3 linked regions of the Macaca mulatta genome follow. The protein of the gene in region 1 binds, or shares a complex with, the protein of each later gene. Links are inferred from orthologs where the notes say so. Each region holds a gene or a part of one and is shown on either strand. Other genes may lie near its edges.

The links.
Region 2: FNIP1 (region 1) and LAMTOR3 share a complex: the UniProt entries of both Homo sapiens proteins name them as parts of the lysosomal folliculin complex. The link is inferred for Macaca mulatta from reciprocal best matches to the Homo sapiens genes FNIP1 and LAMTOR3.
Region 3: FNIP1 (region 1) and FLCN share a complex: the UniProt entries of both Homo sapiens proteins name them as parts of the lysosomal folliculin complex. The link is inferred for Macaca mulatta from reciprocal best matches to the Homo sapiens genes FNIP1 and FLCN.

What each region holds. Positions count from the first base shown.
Region 1 is NC_133411.1:140,588,403-140,592,051, forward strand, and holds part of FNIP1 (folliculin-interacting protein 1), read right to left. Parts: intron 903-3,649; coding exon 1-902. UniProt on the Homo sapiens protein: Binding partner of the GTPase-activating protein FLCN: involved in the cellular response to amino acid availability by regulating the non-canonical mTORC1 signaling cascade controlling the MiT/TFE factors TFEB and TFE3.
Region 2 is NC_133410.1:109,211,050-109,214,798, forward strand, and holds the start of LAMTOR3 (ragulator complex protein LAMTOR3), read right to left. Parts: upstream 2,238-3,749; 5' UTR 2,154-2,237; intron 1,821-2,153; 5' UTR 1,784-1,820; coding exon 1,775-1,783; intron 1-1,774. Other genes in the region: uncharacterized protein LOC144340815, read left to right, coding at 2,238-2,486. UniProt on the Homo sapiens protein: As part of the Ragulator complex it is involved in amino acid sensing and activation of mTORC1, a signaling complex promoting cell growth in response to growth factors, energy levels, and amino acids.
Region 3 is NC_133421.1:18,780,933-18,784,581, reverse strand, and holds part of FLCN (folliculin), read left to right. Parts: intron 1-2,169; 5' UTR 2,170-2,193; coding exon 2,194-2,442; intron 2,443-2,620; exon of another isoform or gene 2,621-3,091; coding exon of another isoform or gene 3,092-3,097; intron 3,098-3,649. UniProt on the Homo sapiens protein: Multi-functional protein, involved in both the cellular response to amino acid availability and in the regulation of glycolysis.

The sequences.
Region 1 (3,649 bases):
CTCTCCAGATTGGTCCTTAGTTGTTTGTTTAGTTTCTTGATGCTGATCAACAGCCCCTCTTTCTGGCTTCAACGGTTTGGTGTGATGTCTGGTAATCTGATCCACCACTGCCTGACTTCGAAGCTCAGTATCTGAATCAGGTGACATAGAATCCCCAATCAGGAAAGTAACCTTTGTCTGGGCAGCCTCACAAGAAAATGAAGCAGGCACAATCTTATCTGGAGGTTTTTTCTCCACAACCATTCCTGTGGATCTCATTGCTTTGCCTGTGTGACTGTCTGAATCCAGCAACTTCTCACTCTGCCATGTTTCCTCTGTTGGCTCTAAGCCTGACTCTGACAATGCACATTTGTCTACTGGAACAGATCCTGTGCAAACAACCGTCTCTAACTTGGCATCAAGGCAAGTTCTTAATTTATCTCTGTACTGTTTAACATCAACAGCATTTTCTTCTTGGCAGTCAGAAGGAGAAATCATCCGGCACTCATCTGAAATTCCTAGCAGCTCCTTAGAGCTGTTTTGAGCATCTTCTCTCTCTTGTTGTGAAATGTTCTCTACATTTTGCCCAAGGAGTGGATGACTGCAATATTTACAGTTACAACTGGGAGTTCTTATTTCTTCTGACTCTTTAAAGAGCAAACTGCTTTTGTTTCTATGCATTGTGACAAGGACATACTCCGATTCTTCTATTTCACCTTTCTCTAAAGTGGTAGTAATTACTGTGCCTGGCATAACGATGGCTTCATCTTCTCCATTTTCTAAAAGATGCGTTTCTTGAAGTTCAGAGCATCTTATAAAATAAGTAAGAAAATAAAGTAGCCTCTGGACCATGTCTTGTCGTTTGCCAACTACCACAGTCCTTGCTAACCGTACAGGAGAGCCAATAGCGCCATACAAGTCTCCTGTAATGGAAAAATCAGTTATTGGACACATCCTTTACTGACACAGCTAAGTAAGCTATTTTTAATGATCAGAAACCTAATCTTACTGTATGAGTAGTTGTTTAGGTTTTACTTTTTTTTTTTTTTTTTTTTTTTTTGAGACAGGGTCTCACACTGTAATCCTGGCTGGAGTACAGTGGTACAGTCATGGTTCACTGCAGCCTCAGCCTCCTAGGCTCAAGTAATTATCCTACCTCAGCCTCCTGAGTAGCTGGGACTATAGGTATGTGCCACCACGCCTGGCTAATTATCTGTATTTTTTTTTGTAGAGACAGAGTTTTGCCATGTTTCCTAGGCTGATCTTGAGTTCCTGGGCTCAAGCAATCCACTGGCCTTGGCCTCCCACAGTACTGGGATTACAGGCATGAGCCAACATGCCTGGCCTCATTCTTAGTTCTTTAACAGATGAGTGACTATTCAAGGGAGGAAGATGAGATGAATAGTCTTAACCAGAGAGAAAGGTGAATTTAAGGGTTTTCAGGCTTCCTCTTTAAACAAATGCTATGGTTCAGAAACCTCAAGCAAAGAGTCAGTTCTGAAACTCATATATCCCAAGAATATTCTTTAACCCAGGCTCCATGAAGAGCATTTTTACCTGGTTAGAGAAGTACTGCCTGAAGTACTATGTACACAAGGACCCTGCAGCTGTGTCCAATCAAGAAAAGACAAAGCACAATATCTGCTGGCTTGCAAGGACAGGAAAGGAGTAGCGGTAAAATGGAGCAAAGCTAGAGTAGTCACACCACACACTTAATCATTCCTGATTTAAATCATATCTCTGGGGCCAGGCACGGTGGCTCACGCTTGTAATTCCAGCACTCTGGGAGGCCGAGATGGGTGGATCACTTGATATCAGGAGTTCAAGACCAGCCTGGCCAACATGGTAAAACTCTGTACTTACTAAAAATACAAAAATTAGCCAGGTGTTGTGGTGGATGCCTGTAGTCCCACCTACTCGGGAGGCTGAGGCTGGGGAATTGCTTGAACCCAGGAGGCAGAGGGTGCATTGAGCTGAGATGACACCATTGCAATCCAGCCTGGGCGACAAGAGTGAGACTCCGTCTCAAAAAAAAAAAAAAAGAAAAAAAGAAATAAAATTAAAAAGTAAGTCATATCTCTAAACTTTAACTGTTGTTCCCCTAGCCAGCACCCCATCCCACCAGCTCCCATGTTAGTAAGAGCCTATTTTCCCCTTCCATTCCCTAGAGGGTTGGGTACACAGGATAGGCCAGAAGGGGCAGGAAGAGAGAGACTCATCCTTACTAAAAGGAAAAGAAAGGGCAACGAGTTTAGCCATGCAATTCATTTTCACTTTTGAACCCATTCTAAACATGACTAGCGATTATGTTAAAAGCAGGGGAAGTGAGGGGGTCAGGACTAGAAATTATCATTTCTATATTTATGCTATACTTCAAATTAAACCAGTAATTTCAGTGCCAAAACTATGGAGAACAGGGCTGGGCATGGTGGCTTATGCAGGTAATCCCAGCATTTTGGGAGGTGGAAGCAGGCTGATCACTCGAGCCCAGCAGTTTAAGACCAGTCTGGGTAACATGGCAAAACTCTCGTCTCTACAAAAAAATACAGAAAATTAGCTGGGCATGGTGGCTTGCTCCTGTAATCCCAGCTACTTGAGAGGAAAAGGTGGAAGAATCACCTGAGCCCAGGAAGCTGAGGCTGCAGTGAACTGTGATCGCACCACCGCACTCTAGCCTGTGCGATACAGTGAGACCCTGTCTCAAGAAAGAAAGAAAAGAAAAAGGAGAATACAAAGCCACTAATTTCAACTTAATTTAATTTTTGCAAGTTGTTAGTATATACATTTAAAATCCTCTATTTTTACTTTACAAAGCCCTCACACTTTTTAAAGGAACAAATATAAATAGGTCTCAAATAAATACATGCTATAGGTATTATTATGATAAATTTTCTCCTCTGGCTAACACACTGGCTCAAATATCACCATGCCACTGTTCTAAATTACTCCCACGATTCCCACGAATTACCAAGTAAGTTGAAATTACTTTGGTATGGCAAGTGAGTCTTTCATGATTCCCATTTTACTTTTCCAGCTTTATCTTCTTATACTTATCCTCCTTCTTGGCAGTCAGAAGAAGAAATCATCTTTATTCATGCAAAGACCCAGTTAAACTGGACCACTGAATATGCTCTGCACTTTTAACACCTACTCTTTACTCATGTGATGTCCTGTCCCTTTCCTCAATATCTCTGCCAGTCCATAGCTTCCCACCTAAGCATCCTCACTTGGGCAAAAGTAGGCTCCCCTGTTCAACTCCTACTAAACTTTTCATTTCTCTTATAGTTCCTCCTTGAATTATTATTGTTGTCTGCATATATATTACCTACAGTCTTAGACTGCTGACTTCTTGAGGGCAATTTCCAAATCATTCATCTTTATAGCACAGAGCCTTAGATAGTGAACAAATGACTGTAGAATTAAAAAAGGATTTAAATGTCCCAATTTAAAAAATACTACTAATAATTTGATTTTTAAAAAGTCAGTGCAATGGAATACTACTCAGCATTAAAAAGGAATAAACTATTAATACACACAAAATAGGTGAATCTGCAAAGTATATACTGCATGATTCCATTCATATAAAACTCTAGAAAATGCAAGTAATCTATCATGACAGAAAGTAAGCCAGTGGCTGTGTAGGGATGGTGGAAGAGGAACAGAGAAACTG
Region 2 (3,749 bases), on another chromosome or scaffold:
CTTGGAGTAAGTTAACTAACCTTTTTTCCCTAAGCCTATTTCATTATTTGTTGAATAGGGCTAATATAGAACCTACATCATAAGAGTGCTGTTAAAGTTTTTTGAGAAGTTGCATGGATTAGCATACCTAGAAATGGGAAACACAAATACATTTTAGCCATAAAAATATATCATAATATTCATACTAGTGTTTTATATCCTGTTGCTATTGTGTTCACTTGAGAAGACATTATAAACACCTTTCCAGGTTCAAAGATAGACTTTCCACCATCATTTTAATGGTCTTGGGTAAGGTGATATGACTTCTGTAAGACTGCTGTCTCACATTATAAAAATATGCCTTCCATTGTTTCATTATTTGTTGAACTCACCTACTCAACAAATAATGAAACAGTGTAAGGCATATTATTATAACATAATTATTAAAATATTCTGTTTAAGGACCTAAAATAAATTATATATGACTATGTGAGGCAACAGTCTTTTTTTTTGTTTTTGAGAGGGAGTTTTGCTCTTGCTGTCCAGGCTGGAGTGCAATGGCGCAATCTCGGCTCACTGCAACCTCTGCTTCCCAGGTTCAAGCGATTCTCCTGCCTCAACCTCCGAGTAACTGGCATTATAAGCACCCACCACCACGTCCCAGCTTATTTTTTTGTATTTTTAGTAGAGATATGGTTTCACCATGTAGGCCAGGCTGGTCTCGAACTCCTGACCTCAGGTGATCCACCCGCCTTGGCTTCCCACAGTGCTGGGATTACAGACGTGAGCCACCACGCCCAGCCCAGACTTACAGAATATAAGATAAATGGCGAAGTGTGTCAAGTGTTTAACACTAAACACAGTTAAGACTAAAGAAATATAAGACTATTTTATTTTTCTAAGCTGGGGCTCACTGCAACTTCCAAGTTCTGGGCTCAAGCAATCCTTCCGCCTCACTTCCAGCATAGCTGGGACTACAGGGTTATCAATGCGCCTGGTTTTTAAATTTCTTTTTGTATAACGGGGTCTTGCTACGTTGCCCAGGCTGATCTTGAACTCCCAGCCTCAAGTGATCCTTCCATCTCGGCATCCCAAAATGCTGAGATTACAGACGAAGCCACCTCACCGGCCAGAAGATTATCTTATTTTGTCTCATTACACTCTCTCATCCCAGGAATTTCACTGACACTTGAGGTATCAATTTTGACCTCGCATGGATTAATCAGGTATCTGTTGTTTTGAGCCTCCAACACTTACTATTCTCCAAACCCGAATGATCATTTTATTTCATGTTATGACTATTGGCTTATTTTTGCTCTCATCCTACACACACACACACACCCCTCATTTTATTTCATGTTATGTTTCTAAAGAGGCATGGGTTAGAAATCATCGTAAATTGCCACAATAAACCTAATAAGATATTGTTACCACTTACTGGAAAAAAGTATTCTGGGTACATGTCCTACTGACCAAATTCTGACAGGAAAAGCAGCGAACCATCATTCAGAATTTCAAATGGTAAATACACAGAGCCTCTCTTATACCCCAGCTGGATTGGTGAGGAGGGAGAATATAATTTTCTCAGTCTCAAGCACCTTAGTGTCCTCCACCCCCATTCGAGGCAGAAACTCAGGATCCTGCAAATTCATTCATATTAGTCTCCCATTTCACATACAAGAGAAAATAATTAACTGGGATGGGTGGGGATGGGAGGATCTTCTACCTCTCCCCGCTCAGTATTCCCCTCCAAATTCCCCACTCTCCCTTCCTCTTATGTGGGGGTGTCACTCACATCCGCCATGATGAACCCCTTTCTCTCGCAGGATCAATCTCCACGCCTGGAAGAGAAACTCCCGGTGACTCTTACCTCTTTGGCTTCCTCGTCCTCCCCACCCCCAACTTAATAAGCAAGATCAGCCCTGGTCAGAACCCGGCAAAACCCCCGCGGTTCTAGGGCTTGGCCCAGCGAGCCCAGTGGGAGTCGGAGTGCCCCAACACCCCCACGGGTACTCAGCTGGCACGCCTTGCCTCAGCCCACCCCATCCCTGCCCCTCCACCCCAAAGAGCTAGGCCCAAACAAAAGAAGAGGGGGCCCTCTCCTTCTGTTTAGTCTCACCACCCGCGCCACCTCCGGGACTAGGCCTCAAACCAGGCAAAGTAGCGCCAGTTACCTGGGGTTTCTGGGTTGCCTGGTTCTCTCCGTTGTCACTTCAGGGACAGCTTTAAAGACAGGTTCCTCCTCAAGCCACCGTCACATGATTGATGACCTCTTCGGCGCTCCGGGAAGCACTTTCTACGCCGTCGCCCCACGATACTGGATTTCCGGAAGGGCCTGGCGGAAGCTTCGAGGGCGCGGCCGCCCGACGCGCCCCGCCCCTCCCCCGCCCACCGCGGGCCGCGTCTTGCGCCTGCGCCTTGTGTCACGGGCCGAGGGACGTCAGCTGTGGGGTAGAGGATTTGTACGAGATCGCTGGACCCTGAGGACCCCAGAAAATGCAAGCAAGGTTATGTGTTACAAGACATTCTTGTGCAGAGAGGGTGTATAAATGTCATTAGTTTTTCAGGGTCCGTTATCTTAAAACCTTTTCTTGTAGATGAAGTAATTTGAGGGGATGGTGTGATGAGCTGAAGAGCAAGCAACAGATTGCCTGTGATTGGAAGTATCAGGTCCACAGGTTTCTGACTTGTTTCCTAGGTTCTTGTGACTTCCCCATGGGTGCTCTTTACTCAAGGCCTTATCTAGATTGAATGGGGAGGAGCCATGGGTTTTCTGGAGCACTTCAAGCGTCTACTTTTAACATGCAGACACGGGATTACGGGTACTTTCTATGTTCCCTTTTACATCAGAATTTTTAAAAATTAGTAAGGTCTCATATAATAAATAATAATTGGAAAAAAAAAAAAAAAAAAAAAAAAAAGCCTTGCCGGGTGCGGTGACTGACGCCTGTAATCCCAGCACTTTGGGAGTCCGAGGCGGGACGATCCTTTGAGCCCAGGAGTTCCACACCAGCCTGGCAAGATAGAACCCCATCTCTACTACTACTACTACTACTAATAATAATAACAACAATAAAGAATTAGCCTTACGTGGCGTGCGCCAGGTACTCCGGAAGCTGAGGCATGAGGATCCCTTCAGCCCAGGGTTTGAGGCTGCATTGAGTGGTGATCGCCCCACTGAACTCCAGCTTGAGTGACAGAGCGAGATGCTCAAAAGAAAAGCTTCTTTAGAAATCACATCCTCTTTCAGCTACCACCCTGTTTTTCCTCTACTCCCTTTCATAGCCAAATTTTCAGAAAATTTTAGCCTGGTTTTTAATTGCTGCTTGCATGTCACAAATCTAATCAGAGTTCTGTTGATTCTACCTCCTATCTTTGAAAACTAGTCACCTATCTATGTTCGTACCCTAGTGCAAGCCATGATCATCTCTCTCTTGACAATAACCTCCTATTCTTCTTACATTCTCTTTTGCCCTCCAGTCTCCATAGAGCAACAAAAATGATGTTCTAAAAACCCAAATCGGATCATTTAACTCCTTTCTTGAAAATCAACTTTATTATAAAGTTCAATATCAGCATCATGGTTTATATATCGTTCTTATGGGGATCTGGCCCCTATATTGATTCTCTCACCTACCCTGGATTCCTTATGCTATGATCATACAAGTTTGTTTCCACTTCCATAAAGATTTTTATCACTTTACCAACTTAGCACATTCTGCCTGAGATATTTCTCTAGCATACCTTAATCCTACTAATCTCTTCTTTTG
Region 3 (3,649 bases), on another chromosome or scaffold:
CTCAAACTCCTGACCTCAAGTGATCCACCCACCTTGGCCTCCCAAAGTGCTGGGATTACAGGCGTGAGCCACTGTGCCGGCCTCTCCTAGCTAATTTACATTTTAAATTTAAGTTGTCACACATGGCTGTGGCCACCATATGGACAGTGTGGGTCTGGCTGCATGTGTCAGGCTGTGTCACATGTTAGGCTGTTGGCTGTGGCTGTCCCCACTGTGCACCTTTGCTTCTGCGGTCTCGTTTCCCGAACTTCTCTGCCTGTCAGAACCCCATGACACACCCCCATTGTAAAGCCTTCTCTGGCTTTCCTGCATCCGTTAGGAAGGTATATGGATGCCGCCGCGGCCAGCCCTCTGCAGTGTGTGCGTGGTGTCCCTCAGACTTTGTGCCTGTAGCTGCCCTTGGCCTTTGCATGGCTCCGCCAGCATCCCAGCCATACTGTGGCCAAGCTTGGGGCTTCCCTTGACTCCATGTCCGCACCAGGTGTCCCGTTGCTGGCTCTGCCACAGAAACTCTCCAAAGGGCTCTTTCTACCCACTCCTGTGAGCTTTTTCTCCACCGGAAACTGTGTTAAGGTCACCTTTGACCTCATCATTGTTCTGCAGGTTACCATTCCCCCTTTTTAAAAGATTGTGGTGAAATAATACATGACCTAAAATGCGCCATTTGAACCACCGTTGGGCGTGCAGTGCCGTGGCATGAAGTATGTTCACAGTGCTGTGCAGCCATCGCCACCTTCCATCTCTAGAACTGTGCCCTGCTCTTCCCTCTCCGCCCCTGGCAGCCGCCATTCCGCTCTCTGTCTCTGTGGCTTTGAGGGCTCTAGGTACCTCATATTTAAGTGGAATCCTACAGTGTTTATCTGTTTGTGACCACTGTAGATCACTTGGCGTAATGTCCTCCAGGTTCAGCCGTGCCATAGCTCTGGCAGGGTTTCCTTCCTTTTTAAGGCCATGTGACATTCCAGTCCCACCTTGCTAAAGTAGTTTGTTCACCTGGTCACTGGGGTGACCCTGGAGCTCCCTTCTGGCCTCACTGCCTGAGCTTGGTCACCTTGGCTAGCTGTCCTCCCTTCTCCACCTCTGAGCCTGCAAGGGCTGTACTCCACAGAGGTCCCATGTGCCATCCCTGACAGCAGCGCTTGGCTCTGCTGCAGTGGCCCGTCCCCGTGAAGGCTTCGCAGGCACTCACTGAGCCTCCTTTCCTCCCCTGCTCACTCCTCCTCTGCACTCTGCACCCCCACCCGCACTGTGCCGCTTCACCATCTGCCACCCTGGCCCGGGCCACTGTCCCTTCCTGTTCAGATCAGTCAGCAGGGTGCCTCAGCTTGTTCCCCACCTCCACCCTGGCCCCCGCCATCTTTTCTGCACATGGGCATGACTGAACATTTTCAAGTGAAATTCACATTCTCTCATGTCTCATCAGAACCCCCAAAGCCTCCCCAGTCTCTGATAACATATCCAGGGTCTTTTGGTGGCCTGGAGGAGCTGTAAGATCTGCTTCCTAAAGCCTCCACCCTGTCTGCTGCTCCTCTCCAAACACCGGACCCTACATGCCCCTCCGGCAGTACAGCACCCACCCTGCCCTTCATCTCTTGCTTGGCCCGTAAGCCAGTCCTTCCAGGCTCCTCTGGTCATTCCCCACGCGGGCCTCTCGCAGGAAGCAGTTTTCCTGTGTCCGCCCCCCACCCCCTGCAGGAGGTAAGCTGCGGAGGGAAGCGTTGTGTCACCTAGTGCCTCGCCTCACACGGAGCAGGTGCCCAGCAGATATGTATTGGGTGGAGGACCCTCTCCCCGTGGCCTTTTATCTGTTTGTTCCCACGGGGTTTGCCATGTTTGGCTGCAGTTCATGTCACTCGAGGACATTCCTTCCCTGTGCCATTGGCTTTTCGACTCTGGCTCTGTCACAACTCCAGCTGTGCTATCACTGGTCCACATCGTCCCCTCCCCTGTTTCCTGTGACTCCGGTGGGAAGATCCTGTCTCTGTTCCTCTCCTCTCGCCTGCATCCAGTGCAGCACTGGGGCAAAGCAAGGGGATGGGGAACTGGCGGGTGGCCTCTCCTGGGCAGGCAACCATGGCACCCAGGTGCTCCCTGTGCTCCAGAGGGGCTGGGGAGGTTTCATGGGGTGAATAGGCATTGGTGAGCTGACATGTCCCCTGTCCTCCGCAGGCCTCTCGCAGTCTCCAAGGCACCATGAATGCCATCGTGGCTCTCTGCCACTTCTGTGAGCTCCACGGCCCCCGCACTCTCTTCTGCACGGAGGTCCTGCACGCCCCACTTCCCCAAGGGGCTGGGAATGAGGACAGTCCTGGCCAGGGCGAGCAGGCGGAGGAAGAGGAAGGCGGCATTCAGATGAGCAGTCGGATGCGTGCACACAGCCCCGCAGAGGGGGCCAGCGTTGAGTCCAGCAGCCCAGGGCCCAAAAAGTCGGACATGTGCGAGGCAAGTGTCTTTGGGGTCTTCGTTTTGCGATCCCTGCAGTAGGTGTGGGATGGACGGGAGGACCTGAGAGCAGTGGATGGAGCCTCCCAGGGTGACACAGACTGCTTCTCAGGGGCCCTTCAGTTCCTTCTGCTTGTCCTGACTGTAGCTTTTGTTTGTTTGTTTGTTTTTGAGACAGAGTTTTGCTCTTGTTGCCCACGCTGGAGTGCCATGGTATGATCATGGCTCACTGCAACCTCCGCCTCCCAGGTTCAAGCAATTCTCCTGCCTCAACCTCCTGAGTACTGGGATTACACGTGGCTGCCACCACGCCTGGCTAATTTTGTGTCTTTAGTAGAGATGGGGTTTCACCATATTGGGCAGGCTGGTCTTGAACTCCTGACCTCAGGTGATCCACTTGCCTTGGCCTCCCAAAGTGCTGGGATTACAGGCGTGAACCATCTTGCCCCGCCTGTGTTAACTTCTTTAACCCACTCTGCCTCCCTGCCATGGCCTTCATGTTTGTATTCACACACTCCAGCCTGTCCTGGAGGCAGGTCCCCAAAGACCCCTGTTCCCAGCGGAGTTTCCTGCTCCCAGCGGAGTTTCCTGCTCCCAGGACCCCCAGTGTTCTCGGCGGGTCACTCCATCAGCTCTCGATCTCTTGGGAATGAGTGTGAGTTTTCCCCCGTGGGCCACTTGTTTGTGTGGAAGACCTGGGTCAGGGCCCGAAATCAGGGCTGAGTGTCGGACCTGTCACTGCAGTGCAAACAGGAACCCAAGCTTGTTCTTTTGGTTCCGCTGCAGAAGCAGAGGACGTGTGAGAGCTGCGTCCATTGCTGGAAACGCCTGTGAGGAATGGGGGGTGGGGAGCACCTCAGACCGGGGAAGGAGGGCACTGCCAGGCCGCTGGGGCGTCCTTGAGCTGGTGTTGGGGTTGCCCTTGGAGGAATCCTGTGACATTGTGGGGAGGGGCTTGCCTGACGCACTGCCACGCAGTCTTGGGGTCGGGGCAGCTCCAGGGCGTGCAGCCTCAGCACCGGAGTGACGGTGGCTGCAGTGGGGCAGCGAGGCAGTGGGGCTGCCGGGGTGAGCTGCCACACCAACATCCTGGAGCTTGGTGCCCGGCCTGTTCTTTATTAGGCCTCTCGCCTGTGCTGAGGCCCCTTCCAGGTGTTATTTCAGAGCCAATGACAGAGGCTGGGGGGCAGTGGGTAATGCTACCACC